Linked DNA regions of Drosophila melanogaster. The protein of the gene in region 3 interacts with the protein of the main gene of each other region in a pairwise test. Each region holds a gene or a part of one and is shown on either strand. Other genes may lie near its edges.

Region 1 (8,591 bases), on a different chromosome or scaffold from region 3:
AGTAATTAAACATATAACATTTAACGTTATACTCATAGGTCTATGTTTATAGGAAATCCTATTAGTAATAGTTTGCAATGATTAAGGTTATGGATGTTGAAATGATAAGCAATTTATTGAAAATAAGTTGCCTATAGCTTACCTGAGATTCTAATTTATTTATAAATTGCCTCTGTTGCTTGATTTAATACAATGAAATAACACGACCGCTATTTACATATGTACATATGTATGTACATCACATGTAAAAGTAACCGTAAGCTACACCGAACATTTGCGTCAGATATTTAACAGCATTTATTGAAACCACAGTTACAAAAACTGTAAGCGACACCGAAAACACACTACGAAAACCTCTAACAATGGTTTTTAACTAATTTCGCCGTTTTATCACTAATCGTAGTCCAACCGAATGTAGGCCTCCAATATCAAACTGCACTCACCAAATTGACCGGAATAACTGAAATCACAGAGTGTAGTCAAAATAAAGTTACATTTCAGGCAACTTTAGAACAAAGTAACGGGATTAAAAGCTCGAACAGTCGATAGTTGATGTAGTGGAAAAGGAAAGGGAACAAAAGAGAGATGAAAGATAACTGTTTCATAATTCGATCTCTTTTATATACATACATGTCTACCTATGTATGCATAGTATGAAAAGAGAGCAAAATTTGCATTTGCTCCTATAAAGCCACGTGCCACCCATCGTTTTATAACTGATTATACTAACTAGACTTTAATAAATGTCATGCTAATCAAATACATATCTAATTGCGAACAACTGGCGAATAAAATGGTAAAAATAGTTTTATTGGACTTTTGATTGCAGGACTTAAGCAATTATACATACATACATACATTCATACATAGTTCAAATCATTACAACGGACTTTAAACGCCTTGAATTTACTTTTGGTTGGTGGTGGTGTTAGGTTTTCCCGAAATAAATTACATACATAATTTCGTACCTGGGTTTTTCGGCCCTTCCAGCTATTTTCTTACTTGATACTTTATACTTGCTTACAACGTAACTGATTTACATGTTGAGATATGCTAATTAATTTATGGATATAAATGTATATGCTACTAAGATATATGTAGGTATGTATATGTAGTATGACTTTTATCGAGTTGCGGTGACAGCACAGAAAGCAGAGTAATCGTATATTCGTTACGTGGTAGACATAAAACTAAAGATAATAATGCACTTAAATCTATGTACGAAGCTTGTTTTAAGTTAACATTTAATGTCTTTTTCAATCGGGACGAATGCTGAGCTTTCTAAACAGAAATACAACATCGCACAAGGAAGAACCAAACGCAATCTGGTGGGATGGTGTTAGAACATAGGGCTTTGGGGACACGGCCCACAAGACAAAGGACCTGAAGTAGATGACAGACAGTATCGGGAAATATGGCATGCAAAATGCGACAGCATATTACATTTAAAAGTTACAAAAATAAAACAATATAGTACTTTATATACATGCAAGAACCTAATCGTATGCGGCCGTGGTTTACGGAACAAGGATGGGGAGCTGTTAAAGTCCCGCGCTTGAGGGAAGGAAGGCCTACGCCGTCTCATTGAGGTGCACGCAGTGGGCGTCCTGCATGAGCTGCGTGAGTTTCTGCGTAAACGTTGGAATGTCCTGAACAATAAAAGGTAGTACCTATTAAACGCAAAGTCAGTCATGGAAGAGTCACCACCACTTGCAATTTTGTGTTTATATTGATTGAAACAATTGAAACAAGTCGACATGGACAGTAAGATTGTAACAGAATGCTTAAATCATAAATGGAAGACAGTTTCTTTTTTTGCCTTGCAAGTGGTGTCGATCCCTTTATATTCAGTATTTGACTCACATTTGTCTGGCAGATCTCCTCCAGCGACGTCTGAGCCACTGGCAAAGAGGCGTGAACGAAGCTCTCGAGCAACTGGCGTCGGTCCACCTGGCCCATAGCATACAACGCCTGGGCAATCATGTCGAAGTGGAGGGAGCCCTCTCCACTCAACAGCAGATTGAGCAAGGCCCGCTGAAATGAAGCCAGCAGTTGCTCCTTGAACAAGGCGCGTTGGTACAACCGACTCCTCTCATTCACATTTTGCATTGAGAAGAGAACGCTGCGCACATTGCTCGGATCAGTCCCACTGACCAGCATCTGGCCATACGCATTCAGGATGGCCATGAAGTGTGCTGGATGCAGGTTGTCGCTGCAGTTGAAGTTGCCGGAGCCACCACCGCTGTGACCATTGGAGAGCTGATTTTTGTAGAAGAACTGCCACTTGCAGGTGAGGACACTAAAATGGAGAAAGGGCGTTAATTCATGACGACACAAGACACAAGTACAATTTATTTTAATTTATGCAGCATCACGCACCTATCAAACAAAGCGTACAACAGGCTAGTGATCTCGCTGTTATCGGTTGCCGCATTTTGCTGCTGCAACAAGGGCAGAATCTGCTGAGTGCTAAAATCTAAAATGGAGGGAAGCAGCCCCAAGGAGGCGCTCCCTGGCTGCTCCACGATCAACTTGAACATCTGCAGTATTTTTTCCATCACAGCCAGTCGGCTCAGAGTCAGTTGCTCCCTGGAGACAGAAAGAGATGGCATCATTAGTAAGCACTCACACTGTAAAGAAAGAGATGGGAGACCCACCTACTGCTGACACTTATGAACAAGGTGATCATTTCCTTAATGAACTGGGCCCCCAAATGGGTGGGCAATGTTCGGAGCATGCTCAGGCTAAACTCGGCCACCGTGATGGCCATGGCGATGCTGCTTTGCCCAAAGTTGTTAAAAATCATTAGGGCCTTTGTTAAAATAGGCTGGAAAACAAAAAACGTTAATAGATTAGGATAGGATGTTTAAATTTACTTAAAAAAATAAGGCACCTTGAAAGTGCTTGCCAGCATATCCTTGGCATTGCCTCCAGTAGCTTTAAAATACTCAATGAGAGCAGTGAAAGTACCCAGCAAACTGAGCGTGGTGGCCGCCACCTTGCTCTCGTTGGCCTGGCCTAAGTCCAGATCCAGAAAGTTCTGTGCCAGCCCCTGGACATATTCACGCAGCATCCAGAGACGCCTCGGATACTCCTGCTGCTGCTCCGGAACGCTTTTCCACGGCAGCACCATGTAGCTGACCAGACTGATGTGTACATTGATGCACACCTGACGCGGCAATTGGGCGCCCAAGCGAGAGCCTGCCTGCAGCAGGCTTTGGATTTGTGGTATATCCAGCAGGCACTTGGGCCGTATCACAGTCGATATGAAAAGCAGCAGCTCGCTTGCCGCCTGCTGCACAATGGGGGAGGCAGCCGTTAAGGATCCATTGCATGCGAAAATGCTGCCCAGGATAGCAAACAGGCGGTGCAGCAGTTCCTCGCCGCTCATGGCTTTCGTTAGCGGAAAGATGCTCCTCATGGCCAGTAGAACTTGAGCGTATCTGAAGGATCAAGAAAGCATAGTATCACATACATCATGCAAAGGGATGCCCCACTTACAGGTTGTCCAAATCAGTCTGGAAAGTAGCTTTGTCCATTTCGCTGCCGCCGCTATACAAACGATTGCTTGCGAGGAGCTGTAGAGTCTGCAGCAAACTGTCGGACAGCATCTGCAGCTGGCACTCCATCTCATCAGCAACCCCGGGTGCTGCTGTTGATGAGTCCATCAATGGGGCCAAACGCACGACCGCCTGGCAGACGGTGGCAAAGTCGCGCAAAATCTCGCCCACATTGGCGCCCTTCAGTTTACGTGCCGCTTCGTAGCTTCGAGCGCTTCCGTGGTCCAATGCGTGCTCCAAGGACAGTAAATACATCTGTGGCCGTGACCAGTGGTTATAGACCTGTGCGAAAACGATGTGTGCACCTCTGGTGTTGGCCAGTAGGGCCAGGGACTCGAAGCATTGGTCTAGAAACTGCTGCCACTCAGTGGCGGAGGTCTGAAATTGGATGAATGTCTAGATAAAATGAAGATCGTTCTAATGCAAGGTCTATTTCTTGGTTTTTGAAATTTGTCACCTAAAAACACTTTAAATCAGAGCTACTTACATCGTCCTCCATGAGCTCGTTGTCCAGCACTTCTAGCTCGGGTTTGTTGGCCTCAAACTGAGTGCGCCTCATAATCTCATCTACTAGCTGGGTAAGCACATTGTTATAACGCGTGATTTTGGCGGGGTGCTGGGCAATGCCTTTGATGATGGGTGTCCAGATCTCAAGCTTTTCGGTGAAGTCCAAGGCGCCGTGTACTGTTTGGGGAATACAAAATTAATAACTTTTGTTATATATCTTTGTCAACGACATTTCGAAATCTCGATCACGAGATGCACATAACCCATTTAATATTGCGAGTGTTTTATGACTACACAGCAAAAAGATCATCTCAAAATAAAAAATAAGTTAGCATCTCAAAAGGCAATATTTTTATCACGCGACTCACATTCAGTGGTGCAGCTGTATAGCAGATTGAGAAAGGTCTCCAGCAGGTCTGGCTCCTGCATCAGCTTGGCGGCATACTTGGTGGTGTAGAGGCGCAGCAGCTCCCGAAACTTGTCGCTGTACATCTCGCTCTGCCGCCGATTGTTATTGTGCTGCTCCAGGAGGCTGGTAACGCCGCCCATCAAGGGTCCTGGGAAGGGCAGTGGCTTCTGGAGGTAGAGGAGCTCATTCAACACAGAGAGAGCCGCCAAGGAGATGGGCTCATGGGCTGGTCGCCACTGGGAAAGGTCAAGTATGCTCATAAGGAAGTACTCCGAGATCAGTTCAGTGCGTATCCAGGAGACCAAGTGCTGCACACATCCTAGCAGGTCCAAAATTGAGGAACTGCGGAGTATATAGAGAGATGTTATAACAAAATGTTGTAATGAACATATGCTCTTTTGAATGTTATGATGACCCACCTTAATTGATTGTCATTTGGCAGCGCTGAGGTTAGACTAAAGTCCATGAGGGTGTTTGGTATGGTTGTTTGGATGTCTTTGCCATTGATGTGGCATACAGCGATTAGCAGATACTTGGTTACCAGGTCCAGAACATCGGGTACACACATGGAGATGCTACAGAAACACACGGCAAAAGGGAGCACAAAATGGGTTAGGAACAGTGCTGTGGCAACTGACCAGTAATTATAGTGCTTTCTCTCAACAAAGCAATATAATATGATAACTGGGTTAACGGTTCAATTAGTTGAGTTTTAAGAGGTCAGCTGACTTTAGTTGTTATGCCATATACATACTCAATCTCAATATAACACTTATTAATAAACCAAAAACAAGAACGGACTGACAAGGTCTGGGATTGTGTTATTCTATGTTGTGCGACGCAATCGTGTATTTAAACAAATAACACCAAAGTTAATAATAAAAATACGCTATGCTCGAAAACATCGACCATCTGATACGCCGTACTCAGTTAAAAATCCAAGTAGTCTTAAACAGACATTAAAAGTATGGGACTACAAAACCTTTTTTAAAAAACATACGATTTTAGCCTCTTCGCTCTATTTACCCACCAGGAGTAGAAGTACTGCTTCCATTCGGTGGTCAGGTCGCCCCTGTTGCTTACCACCTCCTCGGAGGTGATCTTAAGCAGGTTGATGCCAAGTTGAAACCGTGTTTTTGTCAGTTCCATGCAGTGTTGCATGTAATTGGGGTCCTGTTCAGGGAACTCCCTCTTTCCGAGTAGGGCTATCAACTGGGCCAGTGTGTCCCTGTGCCGTTTGGCCACATTTGGAGTGGCTACCAGTTGGGCATACGAGTTCCAAAGGGTCTCCCGCAGCAAAGTCTTGTCCGTGGACGTCAACTGTGTCCATCTCCGCGTGATTGTGTGCTCCAAGGTTGAGGTGCTGAAGAACCAGAGGAACTGATTCTCCGTGGTGTCGGAAGAGGTGGCCACACGGAGGCAAAGTTGCCACGCCTCTGGCTGGGACTTGAAGGCCAAGAGGTTTGTCTCGATCTCTCGTTTCCGGGCATTGGAGGTGCTGGGCTGATAAAACTCCTGCAGCAGTCCCTCCACCGTCGTCAAAGATGCGGCGTGCTGCACAGACAGTGGGTGGGTGGAAACCAATTCCCGGTTAGGTGGAATCACTCTGAATCACTGGCAAAATAGTGCGTTTGGCCCGGAGCCCCCCGCCTCACCATTTTCCGTGTCCTTTACGATCCTTCCGAGTATCTGTGATCTGGATGTTACGGTCACTGTGAGCTCCGCTTGCTCGCGGTTCTAATTCCGATCGCATCAGCAGTCGGCGTCCATTAATTGCATGGTTTTCTTTGTGTCTTTACACAAAAGGTGGCCAAAATCTACTCCGGGAAAGTGAACAAATTCCGCACGGCTGGCAACCCTGGCCGATAGTCAATAAATATCGATAGTTGTTGGTTATGGGTATTTTGAAATAAAAAAATTCTACCTTTCTTATTTTAATTACCTAAAACAAAATTTTTTTTAAATAAAATTGGCTATATAAATGTTTCAGCTAAAACTACGAGCGAGCAGACAAGCATCCAATTCAAATCCATAGTTATACAAATATATATATATATATATATATATATATATTATACAAATGTAATAAATTTTATATTTTCAGTCATTTTAATCTGATAAATTAAAAATGCTGGACTATTCCAAACAGCTCATAACCAGAAACATTTTGAATTTTCCGCCTAACCGCAAATTCGATCGATAGACGATAAAAAAATTGATCGCAGTCGGCGCTTTTGTATGTATTTTTTAATATGGTAGCACTATTCTAATAAGGCAATATTGTTAGCAAAACGGGACACTGATTAACTGTTAGCCTGCAAGTTAGGAAACCTGAAAGTAAAGGATTTTCAATTGATATTTCAAGACGTTCCTATCCGATCTGCCCAACAATCTGCCAGTATCTCATCATGGAAAACCAGGTCCGTAAAAAGGCGGCAAAACGATCGCGATCAGCGGATGGCGACGCCAACAACAATCTCACGCAGCGGAAGGTATTTGTGAACCAGAAAATGTGCGACTCCCGTGATCCTCGGAAGATGAAGGAGGTCCATGGTATGTAAATTGCCTTATTCGCACCAACTTATCTTGTTTCGATCCTGTAATGGAGGGGTGGGAGATTGGAGAGATAGCGCCGCTCAGAGCGCAGTTATCCCGGACTTGTTGCTCACTTCAGTTTGAACAGTTAGACGCGAGAACAAAAAATTGAGCAAAGCAGCGACCTCTAATTTACGATGAATTTACGCATAAATTTTTTTTTTTAATTTTTTTCTTGCTGTTCTTTTGCACGTCCCATCGAAGCTGAGTGTCTAACCCTCCTTTAAGTGTCTAACTCAACTGGAACTCTCCGATTTTCTATTTCTTTCGCAGAGAAGACAATCAAAATGCTTTTCGATGGCGCAGCCGGCAATAGGCAGGGTCAGGGCCAGAATGCCCTGAAGCCATTGGTACAAGGCCAGGAGGAGCCCGCCCTATGCGAGCAGTACTATCTGCTTGGCGATGGTTCCATCGTTCTGCGCAACCTTCGCACCGACTTGTCCAATCCGCGCCTGGAGAGAGTGAAATCGCGCTGCTGCCAGCGCCAAACGCTCATCCACGACATATGCGTCAACTGCGTGATGGATCTCTGCGAGGAGTGTGGCTACTCCTGCGGCGAGTGCTCCAGGTTCATTTGCCGCAGCTGCGTGACTTTATTGTGAGTTAAGTCCTTAAAAGAAGCATCCCCCTTGGGAACACCTTTTATTTGAAAATCAATCGACCATCATCTTATTTCCAGTGGTAATCGAGTTGAAGAAGAGAAGGATCCCCTGTGCGAGCACTGCCAGATGTTCTTCAGCTAAGGCTTTACACAATCCAGCACTTATAAAGTCGCGGTGCTTGTTAAATTTTAAGTTCTGAAGCAGTACAAATTTGGGACGACACAATGTCAAATGTATTACCAACCAGCTCCGTTTCACTTATGTCCTGTAACTGCTTTCTTTCCGGCCGATAGCCTGGATGAGATCCTGGCACAGGAGACTGGGCTGGGCTGCTCGGTCTGACATCAGGTTACTGTGTTCTTTTAACAGCACAATCAGGTTGTCTGTGAGTGCATTATACAGATCCACAAATAGCTGCCAACTGCCGCCGTGGCTGATCAAGTACTTGATGTCTACATCCAACATGCTGCCAAGAAGGCAATCCAGGGACTCTCCTGTGAGAGGGACCGTACGATTCCCGGCCAGATTGCGCTGGGCCTCTAGGAGTCATAGGGCATGACCAGAATATGCCAAGTCTTTGGGTTCCGGTTGAAATGGTCATTAAGGATCTAAAGAGAACATTATTAACTAGGGAAGGAGAATAAGGTACTGGGGAAGACTCACCGCTCCCTTCACGCTGCTCAACGAGCATTTGGCAAAGAGCCAAAAGAGTTAGCACATTCTGGAGCGCCGTGTGCTGCGTTTGCGACGCAGGGCGTGCCATTTGCTCCTCTTGTGAGGAAAGACGGCGCAGGAGCAGTAGGAAATCCTCGTTAGTCTTAAAGACAATGATCAGATATGTCGGAAGCATTCATCTATCCCTAGTTCGTCTAGGCATGGAGTTTTTAAGGTCAGATGCAGCCCCACAAAAGGACGAAC
Region 2 (5,461 bases), on a different chromosome or scaffold from region 3:
ACCGTGTTCCTTTTGGTGTTTTTGTTTTTTTTTTTTATTGTCAACCAACGCAGCAAACAAATGCAAAGCAACGACCTACGACTTCTCACCGTGAGTTGTGTATTATATCTCCGCTTTGTGCTTTTTTTTTATTAGGGTACAGTGGTAATTGGATAATATTTTTATATATATATATTTTTCAAGATTCGCGTTTTAAATAAAAAAACAAAATTTTTTTTTCTTTTCTATATATTTTAGCTGGCTGATACAAGTAGGTAAAACCACTTAAGAATGAGGAAGGTGTGTACTTTTTAGTTTATACCCAAACTATTTGATTGATCTCACAAATTATGAAAGAAGTTGTATAAATTAAAAAAAAAATTAATTACTTTTTTATTATTTCTGAATATTTCATAGTGCGTATAATTTAATTGGCTGCTATTTTACAATCGAAAGGTGGACATTAGTGGGTGACCACTGTTGTTATTGCTGATCATTAACACTTGTTGTTTTTGCTGCTCATCTCGAAATGGTTGTTGGTGCTTATCCTTTTCGACTATATCCCCCGTAGTAATATGGCCATATTGAGTTCATTTTCATCAGGTCTTTCTTCATTTGGCTGATGGTTTTGTGTTTGTTGCTCCCTTATTGGCTTGTTGTTTCTCTTGCATCTTATCTGTGTGTTGTTGTCGTTGGGCGTTTGGCGGTGATTGTTGTTGTTGTTGCTGTTCGAGGTTTTGTAATTGATGATGTTTATGTTTGAGTATTGGCCCCCGTCACCAGCCCCTTCCAACTGATTTAAAGATTACGCACCTACGGTTTTTATTTTTTATTTTCGAGGAGTGCGTGTGGGTTTTCCTCGTCTTCGGTTGAGGGACTCCTGTGTGTGTGCCTGGCATATTAATGCCAAGATCTTAATTTATTCTAATGGGTTTATCAAATGCTGTGGGGTAATAATAATAATAATAGATAAAGTTGAATGGCGCGAAAGAGAAGTAATGTAAATAATATGGTAATATTCAATGAGCTGTGAACGAGCCTGGCGATAAAGTAAGTTGATAAAGGTTCTGTAGTGAAAATCCCTGTATTAACACACTGGTGGCTTAGTCCAGTTAAATAAATCGTGAATCATTTTTGAAGGGGAAAATGTTTACTTTCAAGTTGATGAATGGTAATTGGCATCGTATTGCCGATAAAACTGGAAAGTGTTCGAAATTCGTATGTGCAATATTCCACAATAGCTTTATGCACTTGCTTGCGTACCGCATAAATATTTACCTCCATTTGACTTCACTCAAGCGGAAACAATTCAGTGTGCAATGAATTATCTTACTTTCGAGTAAATTTATTAAGCATGCAGTGGGTATTTATCAAAGGAAAACAACTGCCTTTTGCTGATAAGTCAAGCAAATAAAAGCATATGCAAAATGCTACCGAAGAGAAAGGAGCAGGAAAATATAATTTACTTTTTCTTTAACAAAATTAAAGTTTTAATAGTATTTATTTTCAATTTCGATAAAACATCTGTGTCGTTATGAATGACTATATTCTTAACAATATTCCAAAATTATACTTTCTCGTCCCCAAAACTTTTTTTCAAAAACTTCCGCGCAAATTTTAACAGACCAAATAAAGTTAATAACAAAATGACAGAAAAGCTTAGATACCAACGGGTTTCTGGTATTTTTCCAGTATAACCAGTTGCTTGATTCAAACAAACTTTCTTGAATTAAAACTTTGATTAACGAAGTAAGTTGCTGCAGTACCACCCTTAAATTTATTTTAAAAACAATATTTTTAATGAACACAGGTTGGTATCAATTTTCAATGGGAGAGCCGTGAACCGACTCCAAGTTCCGAACCAATCCAGCAATGCACCTGCAGCCCTGGAATTCTAGTTCGCGGCGAACCGGTTCAGTTGCAACCAGTTCTTCGCCAATCAATTCCTCACGGGCCGTGTTTGTTTTAAGTTAAAATTAGTAAATTACCCAATGCAATCAGCTTGCCAGGCGATTCGTGCTGCGCACCTAGACAATCGAGTGCTAATGCGATTCGCTAAAATGCCAAAAACCAGCGGCCGTTGAAGAATCGCTGCCAAATCGGTGGGTTTTCGTACATAAAACTATATGCGAATTGTTCGTGCCAGTGTGTGTTCGTGTGTGTGTGTGTGTGTGTGGTGTGAGTGTGGCCCCCTCTATGTGTGGCCGATAAAGGGGGCGGTGTCGTTGATAAGGGGGCGTGGAACATGAGCAATGCAAATCCTTTAGACAAAGAATCAATTTGCCAATTGTGCGACACTCGAGAGTCTCAAAAAGTCCTAAAAGCAGGGCCAAATGCACACACATAGTCAGTGAGTGAGTGTATGTGGGTGTGGGTGGGTGCGTTAGTGAGGTGGGCGGTAAGGTCGTGTGGAAAGTGTCAAGGCATTTTACAACAGCGGCACACGAGCAAGGTAAAACCCTCGAGCCCGAATACTAAAACCGAGCCAAAAACACCGCGCCCCATGCGCAGCTCTGCATTAAACATGACTACCAGAAAGTCCTTCGCGGGGATTCCCCGCAAATGCTCCGTCCTGCTCTCGCAGTCGCAACTCAGTTCTCCACATTTCGTGTGTGCATCGTAAATTGTTGCACATTTAAATATTCATGCAGCCCGGGCAGAAAGCATAGCTTATATTTTTTACGATTACAATTTTGGTGCTTTACACGAATTTCCCACGGCGCCGGCGCACTTTACATCCATGCTCGCCATCTTTCTCGCACTCCTTCGCTCTCTTTCACACTCTCTCGCTCTCTGGCTTTCTCCTTTCGGATTTTTGGAGTGCCATCAAAGTTTTGAAAAGTATGTTCAAGTGCTGGACCAAAAGGCATAATAATAGTATGGCCAAGACAAAGGTAGCGCCTCCCATCCACCCTCCCCCCCTGCGAACTTTCCCCGCGAACATCCTTGGAACGAGACCCTCGAAAAGGACACATTCTGCAGGTCCTGCTGGCTTGTTTACCTTTTCAGCTGGCCATCATTTCCGTTGCAAAATTCACAACGCCCACTGTGCGGGGATACTTCCTTCCTACCATTGGCACTTTCGACAGCATTTTGTGCATTTGTGGTGTGTGCCGCCTGTAATTGATTGGGGTTTACACCTGATATGAGTGTGATTGACATATCAAACAAGTTTCGGCCAGGCCAGTCTCATTTCCGTTGCGACACCATTAACAGTGGTCCCTCGAAAAGTGTTCCCATCACACAAGTGTCAACACGCCAGCCCAACTTTATAGTGGCATTTTCAATTTGATTGATTCAGATAGCATTATAAACTTAACTTAGTTTGTAAGTAAGATTACAAAATATTTAGGAAATTATTAGCAAATTTTCTTGATTAAAATCTGTGTATAATTTTTCACAAATGTAAACAAATTTGTTTATATTTGCGTCATCTGCTTGACAGAATTCTCGCAAAGCTTCTTGACAGTTTCTTAATTAGACGCCAAATAAATCTGATTAGCGGCCTTCAACTAATGGAAAAACTCACCTTCACCATTTTCACTTGTTATATTTTTCCAGCGCAAAATGCATTCTTAACATCAGCAGCTACGAAAACAGCAACAGCATTAGCGGCAACAACGAATCAACGACACCAATAACAATACCATTAACAACAAATCATCAGAAGAAACCGAAGGAAAACGCTCAAAGTTTTGGAGTTGCTCACTGGCCGCTTAGTTTTTTGTTTATTTTTTATGTTCGTTTTTGGAGGGCAGTAGGCGACGACGGGCAAAGGAAGCGGGAGAAGGAAAAGCGACGGACACGAAAAACAGGACACAACTCATCAATATTCGAAAAAGCAATTGAGTCGAGGCATCAATTCATCAATTATTCAAAATGACCGAAGACGAAATTCTCTTTGACGACGTCTACGAGCTGTGCGAGGTCATTGGCAAGTAAGTTAGCGCCCCACCGGCTATATCTTTAGCCGATTCTGCTGCTGACAGCTGGCATCCATGGCCATTATCTCATTATGTATTATGTATCCGCCCCGTATGCCCATCCCACCCACCCAGAAGCCGTAAATCATGCAACTATTGGCCTGGGACGAAGCCAGCTCCCCTCTATAAAAAACTTTCCCAAACGCCCAACTTTTGCATTATTCAAAAATGTATGACCAAACATTTTCTGTGCTAGTTACTTTTGCTGTGATCATCATAGTTTAGCCAGAAGTTCATTCACAAAGCTGTCAATGTTATTAAGTTGAACTTTGTTTAATTTCGTTGGAAAAATATTTTTCACTGATGTTGAAAATGTTCCATTAACACACTTCTAAAGTTTATTGAAAATGAAGTGTGAGTCACTAAATAGCACGTTTTTTAATTTTTTGCAATTTATAATCTATAAACTATAAGCAAAATGACGACCTTGAATCGCAATAGTTTTCCAAATTCAGCTTGGTGACATAGTTCAATAAAAATTAATCACGCTCATAAAACAAGATGATAGGAAATCGTTGCTTGACTTTAAATGAGTTATTGAATAGGAATTTGTAAGAAAATTAAAATTTATTTGTAAAATAATCATCAGTAATGTTATGGCAAGCTTTTGTATTAAAACCCCACGTTTGTAACTACAAAGAGAATACATAGTTGATTAAATTTCCTCTTTCTCAAGTATCTTGTTTGCTTTTAGACGCTCGGAAAATATAAATATTTTGCTTTTGTCGAAGCAAGATAAAATTTTATTCGCTCCCATTTAGACACAATCAACTTTCAATTGAAGTTTAATCCGAATTTACTTTATTCCCCCCCCATCCGGGATTGTTTCTTACAGAGGACCTTTCTCCATCGTAAGGCGATGCATACACAGGGAGTCCAATCAGCAGTTTGCCGTCAAAATCGTTGATGTGGCCAAGTTCACAGCGAGTCCTGGACTGAGCACAGCGGGTGAGGATTATATACACAATACACCTATATATATATGTATACACTCCGCTTTTATTTTTGACGGCACAATGAGACGACCTTGTTCGATTTGGCCCCGGGCTACCGATTCCTGACTCCTCCAGAGCGCTGTGTGAATAAATTATAATTAAGCTGCTCAATTATTCAAAATTATGCCGCTGCCACACGTGTAGCACGCCCCCAGGGCTGCCCGTTTGCCAGCCCAAGACGCCAATTAAAAAGAAATTGCTCAAGTGCAAGGGCGCCAGGACCTGAGCCTGAATCAGGACATGGACACGAACCCGGACGTGGATGTGAATGTGGACGAGGAGCAGCCATCCGACCATTGACTAAATGATACATGGCAGGCACATAAGTCAGCGCTAAGTCCATTAGTGCCACTGCCAGCTGGTGTAGTGGGTGGTACTCCCCACGTGCCCCATTCCAATGTCAACTAATTGCCGCTGTTGGCCCCAACCTCGTTCAATCTGAACTCACGCCCCCATTCTCTGCATATTTTTTTCTTTTTGCAGATCTGAAGCGCGAGGCCACAA
Region 3 (4,078 bases):
TCAGCTGAACCCCCACAGACAAAACATTACTTACTTACTTACCTAGTTTAGCATGCGTTTTGCACAGGTTTTGCTCAATGCTCAATTATTAGTTTACACATCACACGCGAGGTGGGTCCTAGCACCCGCCTTTCTATCCTCAACCGTGTACATAGGTTTAAATCTCTAGCGAGTAGACAAGAAGAGTAGCGAAAAGCGTTTCGATTAACGAGTGAATTTCGTCTCTCAAATTATCATGCAGATTTCCAGAAGCAAAGTGTATTACAAGAAGCCAAATATTACGTAGAATAAGTGTAGGTCAGTATCAATTGCGAAAGCGAAACGGAAACGGAAACAGAAACGAGAACATCCTGAGATTATGATTACGAACGCGTTGCCAAGTAGCCTGAAGAGCGAATAAGCGAGAAGATAGTGCTTAGATGCGCCAGTGAGTCAGTCCCCATGCTGATTTATAGTTTATAGTTTTCTTTTATTTACACCTAAATTATGAAAGCATTTTGATTTCCTTCATTTCATTATCGGTTTCATCCATGGATGCAAACAAGAAGCAAGCAAAACACGAGTACTTGGCGAATATTAAATTAAGCAAACAAGTTTTTAATTTGTACTTGATGGAAATACGTTTCTTATTAACCTTTAAGTTTACTCCTTAAGAAACTGATTTGTATAAGCTGCGCCCATATATACATACACACGAACATATATAATATATATATATAAATTTTATTGTAGTTACTACACAAAATTTGTCAAAGCAAAGAAAAACAAAACAAAATCCACAAAAGGAAAGAATCCAACATACAATTTAAGTTACCATACAATTTTTGTGATAAAACTAACAAATAAAATACAATTTATAAAACGCAAACTGTTTTTTAAGTGTTTTCTAAAAAGGAGTCCATTGTTGTATCCCCACCAGTAAGAATGCATTTCAAGTAGTTTTCGTTTAAGCCTAAACTTTATTTTACACTTATTTACTACAAAATATATGTATTCATAGAGCCGCTTATTATGCGTATTAAAAGCCATGTCAAGTTATGAATAACTTTTTCGCAGCATTAAAGCAGACTATGTTTTCCTACGCTTGTAATTTAAAAAGATCAACAACAAAAGAGGTTAACCCAAATCGCAAAGCGTAAATGCCAGTCGTAACAATCGCAGTGTTAATTTAAATTCACAAAGAATAAGATCCAAGCTGGAGCCAGCCATGCACTTACTGATAAACAACCACTGTGCGTGCACGCAATAAATATTTCATAATATTCAAACAATGGCTCCAACATGTGGTTAATAAACTAGAGAAATTTTGTAGATTACACTGAATTATCCTAAATTTAGACTTAGTTCTTCAGCTTTGGCGACGCTTTGCCTGGTTCAAGCTAAAATTAGAAACAATTCAACTAGTAAGTCCAGAGTTGGCTAACGGGGTTTGAGATGGTTGGTTTGGGTGTCTGTGGATGGGAACGGTTGGTGGGTGAAGCACAGGTTTAAGTGACGACGGCCGATCGCTTGTCACGATTCTTTCCACGTGTTATGGAGCGTGCCTTGAATGCAGCAGCATTCACAAGGTGCTGCAAAAGCAACAAATATAAATATATTAAAATTTGAAGCGAATGTTAACACATTTCAATCAACTTACCCGCTCCAGCTTGGTCGGCTTGACCTTGGCGTTTCCATTGATGCCTGTGTTCGTGGGTCGTGGTCCCAGCTGGAAGATGTCACGGATGAACTCGTTCTCCTGCAGCTGCGAGGTCATCCCGGGACCCATGACAGTGCACATGGCCGAATACTGATGATGGATGGACCAGGAATCTAGTGTCAGCGACTCGGTACCGAAACGAATGCTAATCTCTGGGGAAATGTCCTCCTGCAACGAGATAAAAAAAACTTTAAAATCAGGCTAGGCTACGAGCAAATATTCTAATCTCATTTCGTACGATTTTGAAATGTATCACTATTAGTTTCTCTATCAGATCAAACAGACCAAATTTCTCGTTAAAAAAAAAAAAACTACTAAAAAAAATTGTTTTGGCCAATTAGTTTTGTAGATTTCGTTATCAAGATGATGCTATCAACCTATCAGCACGACTATGTCCCGCCCAGTGCCAAACGGTACGAGTTTCTAACGCGGCCCAGGGGCGCCGAGGCTCACAGTGGTCCGCAGGTCAAGGAGTGCGAATGCGTCGACGAGTCCAAGATCATGATGCCGCCGAACGCGTCTAAGGACTGTGGCGGCGTCGAGTGGACGGGCATAGCGCCAATGGGAAAGCTGGTGGATCCGCGTATCATACCCACCCAGCTGACTCAGGACCAGGTGGACAAGATGGCCTTCTCCGCGGAAACAGATTGCTTTAAGCTGCAACCCAACCGCTTTCTCAAGATCTTACGTACAGTCTACCCGGATCTGTATGAACGCCTGAAGGTCATGCCCAAGGAGGAGCTGAGCCGCAGGCTGGAGACCAACCGTATGAACACCACCTATCAGATCGATTACTGTAACATGAACGAGTACCCGGAGGGTATTTATGAGAGCCTAAAGACGGAGGACGAGTCCAAGAACGCCAACAAGCTGATGAGCGAACGTGGACCCTGCAACGAGTTCCGCTCGAACGTGATGAACGAACTGGAGCGGGAGGCGTCCGCTGGCTACGAGATGTCTAGCGACGAGTGCCAAAAGAACTACAAGCCATTCAAGACCAGCTTCTCGGACTCCTCGCAGACCATCGAATCCGGCAGCAGTTCGCACTGGAACTCCGCCCCGACCACATACCGGAAGGTGCCGACCTTCAGCGAGTACATGGACTCGATAAGCCGGAACGGCTGCGTCATCATGCGCAACAAGTTGCACGATCACTCCAAGTGCTTGGCCAAGTACTGCAAGCACGAGCTCAAGTTCACTTGCACTGACATGAAGTAATCGTCCAAAGACTAGTGCATCTCGAGTCAAATAAATAAATGTAATCCCTATTGTTTAAGCGTAGCACTCGTGCAAATCTTCAACTCACCTCCAGGTATCGCAGCACATCACGGAAGGTGGCACGCTGGGCCTTGCGATCGCGCTTGGCGCGGTACTTATGCGAATCCGTGGCCAGCTGCTTGACGGCCTCCGATAACTCAGCGATGTCATCTTCTAGGAAATCCTCTTCGTGAGCACGTCCCGACTCCAGAATTAAAGCAATGGTCTCGCCAGCGGCCATGCGGACGTCCAAATGTGTAGATTGCAAGAGACCCAAGAACTTCTTAATAGATCTGCAAAGTTTAGTTTAAACAATTATAGCAATGGGTTTGAAAGTTAAATGGAACTTGCTCTTCAAACTTACGGAAACATGTTTTGGCCAGTGGTCATCAACGAAACAAAATCCCCCGAAGGTATAAGTGTTAGTAGAAGCCCCCAGGCGTTCAAGGCCTCCGCATGGAAAGTCCCAGCTTCGGCGGTGACGGATACCGGTGTCTTGTCATCGCCACGCAAATAACTGCCTGCGAAGATGGCCTCGAAGCTCTGCATCAGGTGTACCAACTCCCCAACATCCTCGCAGCCCAGGAAGCTCAACAATCCCACAGCTGTGCAGCACTTGGCACGGGCATCGAAGCCCACGGACTTGTCCTGAACGGTGTTCAACAGGAATTGATTCATCGCCTTGGATATGCCTTCATCCCCGCCCATTTGGAGCACCAGCAGGGGCGCGAGTCGTGCGCCCCACACCTGCTCCTGGCCCTTGCCTCGACGGATGCTCTTCTCCACGAAATCCATCAGGGTCATCTTGCGGTCCTCCACGAAGTCCGGCATGTAGCGGTGCATGAGCAGTTCGCAAATCGCTTGCAGAGCCTGCACACGTGTCTGGGCCGACTTCTCGGTGGCCTGTTCCAGGGCCTTCTCGAACTTCTCCTCGAAACGCTCATTGGCCAGCTCGTCGGTGGCCTCCGAGGATGCGACTTCGGACATATGAGAGTAAACGCTCACATTGTCAAAGGACTCGTCCTCAGAATTGGAGTCATTGGTGCGGCCTGAAAAAGAAATCATTTGGGTAATTAATAAGGTTTTTTTTTGAAGTATTTTGCTATACTCAGCGAGTTTTTC
Region 4 (4,400 bases), on a different chromosome or scaffold from region 3:
ACACGAATCCATACGTCTAAATAAACTTTTAAGGAGTAAAATCAATGAAATAAGTGAAAATAAAAGGTGAGTACCGTCTAAATAATCGATTTGTGGGCGCCTCCATCGAAATGCGCTGCGCTTTCCCCAAAACATGCCTTACTTAACTGAATTTTCCACAAAACATGACGCATCTGCGGCTCCATGACTACGCCTTTCCATTTGTGCCGGATCCACACGCACACACGCGCAACCATTGACGCCAACACGAACACACCACACGCAGAGTGCAAATAACGGAGAAACATCAAGACACGCAGAGGAGCAGCAACTGGAAGAGGACAACATGGCCAACATCCTGGAGAACCAACTGTTCACGGCCGCCAAGACCATCGAGCAGCAGCTGGACCAGCAGCTCGACCGCCTGGACAACCTCGATTCGGATGACCTAAAGGTCCTGCGGGAGCAGCGGCTCCGCGAAATGAAGGACCTGAACAACAAGAAGCAGGAGTGGCTCAGAAACGTAGGTGATCATCTCTTACAACACTCAATTATTGAAGATACTTCGAGATTGTTCTCTAAGTGGTATATGACCAAATGGTATTCAACATGCGACTTTTAAGACATTCGCGACACTTGCTTCGATTAATTCAAATTAGTTTTCAAATTGGGCTACCAGCTTAAATAGCTCAAAACTTAAATATATATGTAAAAATTAACTTTCAAAGAAAACCTTGTTAGCGCAACAATCTCATTAATCCCCAAAATTGCTAATCTTTTCCAGGGTCATGGCACCTACACCGAGCTGGCCGACGAAAAAGAGTTCTTCGAGATGTCGAAAAAGTCGCCCAACATTGTTTGCCACTTTTACCGCGACAGCACCGAGCGCTGCAAGATCGTGGACATGCACCTGAAGATCCTCGCGGCCAAGCACGTGGAGGCCAAGTTTTGCAAGGTGAATGCCGAAAAGACTCCATTCCTCACCCAGCGACTGCGCATCAAGGTGATACCCACCATCGCCCTGGTGAAGGACAGCAAGACCAAGGACTTCATTGTCGGATTCACCGATCTGGGCAACTGCGACGACTTCGCCACCGAAATGCTGGAGTGGCGCATCGCCCACTCGGGGGCCATTGACTACAAGGGCGATCTGATGCAGCCACCAGATGTGAAACGCAAACCATTCATCAACCGCCCACAGAAGACAATACGTGGAGGCTACGACTCGGATGACTCCGATATAGATCTGGATGACTAACTACGGGCAGTCCATCCCACACTCTCGATTACCCAAGCTCCAGCTTTCGTTCCACACTCCCACACAAGATACACTCAAAAGCGATGGAGTAACAAAAACGGACACACACAAATCAAAACCTAGCACATGGATCTAAACCAATTAGGCGTACTCTAGCGTTATTTATTTAATTATACGATTCCGATCCCTCTGCTACGGTCCCATCGCCACCTAGTGTAAGTGGCTAATTCGGTTGCCTTCCCCCCCGATTATGTGCTTTAATATCTATCAGTTCAATCAGCTGCCTCGAAGGCTGCGCCACTCTAGCGAGCTTAAGCGAACTCAAAATTTGATCTTTATGGTATTTGCAATTCCAAATGAATGTGCACCCTTTGCGTATATATGTTAAGTTGAGCATAGTTTTACAAACTGCCCTCGCCCTCCAGAAAACGGTGTACGTAAAACAAGAAACTAACATACACAGAGCATAAAAGACAAGAAACTAAATATCTGGCATATATATATTTTTAAAATTTCGATAAAAGGTGTATTGCATTTCCTACAGTAGAGGTAACTAACACTTACATATGTACAAGTTTTTATATTTATTTTTGTAATTCTACAAAGCATCAAAGGAAATCAACGATTAAATAGCATGTTCAAAACAATTGCAAGCGCTTGGTAATTGGTTGTAAACTTAAATGGTTCCCACACAGGTTTTTTGCATTTCAGATCGTACTCTTGGTAATATTTTATTTAAATCATACACGGGAAAGGCAGCTTTTTATTAAAATATGACTTTTTAACAAAAAGACTAGAATTTCTTTAAGAACTTATTATTTTCATCATTTATCGATATTATTAAACCTTACTTGGAAAACACAGAACTGATCATCGGGTTAAATAGTTTTGAATGAAATAATCCTGAAATAATAGGTTTGAACAAACTACGCTGCAGTTAAAGTAATGGTATTTCCCCGAACAGCTGATCATGAGATTCCGAAAATCCTCCCTTAACACAAGGGTTGCCAGTCTTGCCGCAGACGAATAACGGAATGGCCGCCAAAGACAAAAAGGGACGCCAACTGAATTTACCTGTAATGACGCCGTAATCCCGCCAATTGCAGCTTGCTCGCCATAAAACTACGGTCCAGACTATCGTCAAAATCGGTGCAAAAACTTTTACCTGCCAGGTGCATAAAACGCCCATCGAGGATTCGATTTACCATCATTGGTATTGTGAAACTCGAGGTGTACAGAAGTGATTCGAAATGGTTCTCGCTCCCGAAGTTCGAAGTATTGTGAAGGCGCTGAAGGGCTCGAACAGCTGTGAGGAGATAGCCCAGATCCTGGAGTGCGACGTGGAGAGCGTGATAAGCTGCATTCGTGAGTGTGAGCTGCTCGAGGGGAAGACTGCCACGCTGAGGTTGCCGCAAAAACTGAAAACAGCGGCGCCCGTGGCGGTTGCGCAGGAGGAGGAAAAGAAGCGCGATGTTGGCAGACCCAAGGTCCTGGAGAACCGGCAAATTGTCGAGCAAATGCTGAGCGACAATCCGCACTACACCTCCATCGATGTGCAGCGGGAGTTGGCCCGACACGGCATAGAGGTCAGCCGCAGGACCTTGCAGCGCAGGATCAGCGAGATTCGCTCCAAAGGCATACGGCAACCGAGAGGATCGCCACAGCCGAAGGAGCCCAGCACTTTCGGCCTCAGTGAGGGGGCGAAAAAAAGGAGGTTGGCCTGGGCCACCGCCCATCAGGATTGGACCGTGCGCGACTGGCGCAACATCTTCAACATGGACGATCTTAAATTCGTCGACGAATCAACGCCGCCAAAGGAGATCTTCCTTGACTCGCTGATGGGACCGGAGGGCAGTGTCTGCAATGACCTCAATCTCCTCGAGCAATTGATGGCCATCATCCAGCCGAGGATTCAGAATCAGGCGCCCAAAAATGTCAGCGAGTTTCGAGCCGTCTTGTACGACGTCTGGCACAGCGACCAGGACATGGTGGACAAAATTGAGATGCTCTACGAGTCGATGACGTGGCGGGTCTCAGCGGTCCTCCGCAACGGCGGGGATCAGACCGAGTTCTGCTAGCCAAGCTGTGGATTCCAATCGCACCCTGATTCTTGAATGTTGTATTGAAAATAACGACGTTCATGATCTTGTTTAATTTGACATATTATTAAGTTTGTAGTGGCCATATAATGTACATGGTACACTCTGATTAGATTCGCGGCGTAGGATTAAATATCTTCATTTTTTGAAACTATAACTATAAAAAAACATATACATTTTAATAAAGTGTAAAACAATATAATATCAACGATGTTTCAACAGCTTGGGAAATATTTCTTAAAAGTAATAATGTTTCAGAATACAAGCCAATTATTATTTTATTAAACAAACTTTAAATATGTATAACAATTTTATTTGATAAATGAACACTTTTTCATCATTAGAGTATGTTGTTAATTCGCCTCCTGAATTGCTTTTGGTTTCTTCGAAATTGACCATATATATTGCAATATAACAGCAATAGAATAGACTATTCCAATAACTATAAAATAGAATGCGTAGACGGAAAACTGTTGAAAAACATTCAAATTCAGATTGGCCTTTTCCGAGACGACGACAAATGTGAGGATGCACTGCAGGAGGAGTCCCACGAACGTGTTGAAACCAAACACCAGAGCGAAGCTATCCTCCTCCAAGCTGCTGGCCAACTCCGAGCTATAAGGTATTACGAGATTTGGTAAATTTCACCTGTTGGAAAAGGATCAAGAACTGCTTACCTGGCCACTGTTATGGTGAAGGCAAACAGGCCTCCATACAGCACATAGCCAAGATAGGACAGATATATATCATCGGTCCAGCAGGAAAGCAAAACACAACCTCCTTCCAGGACCGACAGCAGAGCCATCGAGAGCAGGCTGCTCCTGGTGTTCAGACGTCCAGCATGGAAATAACCGGCGAGAAGGGCGAACACAGCGCTTAGAAGCGTCAGGGCCACGTCCACAGCTCCATTCCAGGCTATCTTCAGGGGAAATCTCAAGGATGAGAAAGCCATTGATTATTGAAACTCACTCACTGTTGGTTCGTTCTCGAAGGACTTCCATACCACCTGCATATAGGTGGTGATTTGCAGAAATCCAGCCAAACTGATGGCATACCACAAGCTC

Evidence for each region.
Region 1: the proteins of CG8813 (region 3) and ebo interact in a two-hybrid assay, tested with the Drosophila melanogaster proteins (one large-scale study listed by BioGRID).
Region 2: the proteins of CG8813 (region 3) and CASK interact in a two-hybrid assay, tested with the Drosophila melanogaster proteins (one large-scale study listed by BioGRID).
Region 4: the proteins of CG8813 (region 3) and CG4570 interact in a two-hybrid assay, tested with the Drosophila melanogaster proteins (one large-scale study listed by BioGRID).

What each region holds. Positions count from the first base shown.
Region 1 is NC_004354.4:470,263-478,853, forward strand, and holds ebo (ellipsoid body open), read right to left. Parts: upstream 6,318-8,591; 5' UTR 6,135-6,317; coding exon 6,132-6,134; intron 6,031-6,131; coding exon 5,507-6,030; intron 5,052-5,506; coding exon 4,896-5,051; intron 4,819-4,895; coding exon 4,436-4,818; intron 4,245-4,435; coding exon 4,048-4,244; intron 3,957-4,047; coding exon of another isoform or gene 3,939-3,956; coding exon 3,502-3,938; intron 3,444-3,501; coding exon 2,894-3,443; intron 2,828-2,893; coding exon 2,658-2,827; intron 2,590-2,657; coding exon 2,380-2,589; intron 2,300-2,379; coding exon 1,864-2,299; intron 1,671-1,863; coding exon 1,572-1,670; 3' UTR 757-1,571; downstream 1-756. Other genes in the region: CG13373 (uncharacterized protein), read left to right, coding at 6,885-7,029, 7,345-7,669, 7,751-7,814.
Region 2 is NT_033777.3:21,819,103-21,824,563, reverse strand, and holds the start of CASK (CASK), read left to right. Parts: upstream 1-1,889; 5' UTR 1,890-2,081; intron 2,082-3,540; 5' UTR 3,541-3,858; coding exon 3,859-3,917; intron 3,918-4,797; coding exon 4,798-4,910; intron 4,911-5,440; coding exon 5,441-5,461.
Region 3 is NT_033779.5:2,867,684-2,871,761, forward strand, and holds CG8813 (uncharacterized protein), read left to right. Parts: upstream 1-1,968; 5' UTR 1,969-2,062; coding exon 2,063-2,917; 3' UTR 2,918-2,966; downstream 2,967-4,078. Other genes in the region: Ifrd1 (Interferon-related developmental regulator 1), read right to left, coding at 1,488-1,571, 1,640-1,867, 3,006-3,249, 3,321-4,005.
Region 4 is NT_033777.3:10,854,531-10,858,930, forward strand, and holds CG4570 (uncharacterized protein), read left to right. Parts: upstream 1-2,276; 5' UTR 2,277-2,487; coding exon 2,488-3,315; 3' UTR 3,316-3,536; downstream 3,537-4,400. Other genes in the region: CG4511 (uncharacterized protein), read left to right, coding at 326-502, 764-1,237; CG14694 (uncharacterized protein), read right to left, coding at 3,690-3,951, 4,014-4,255, 4,310-4,400.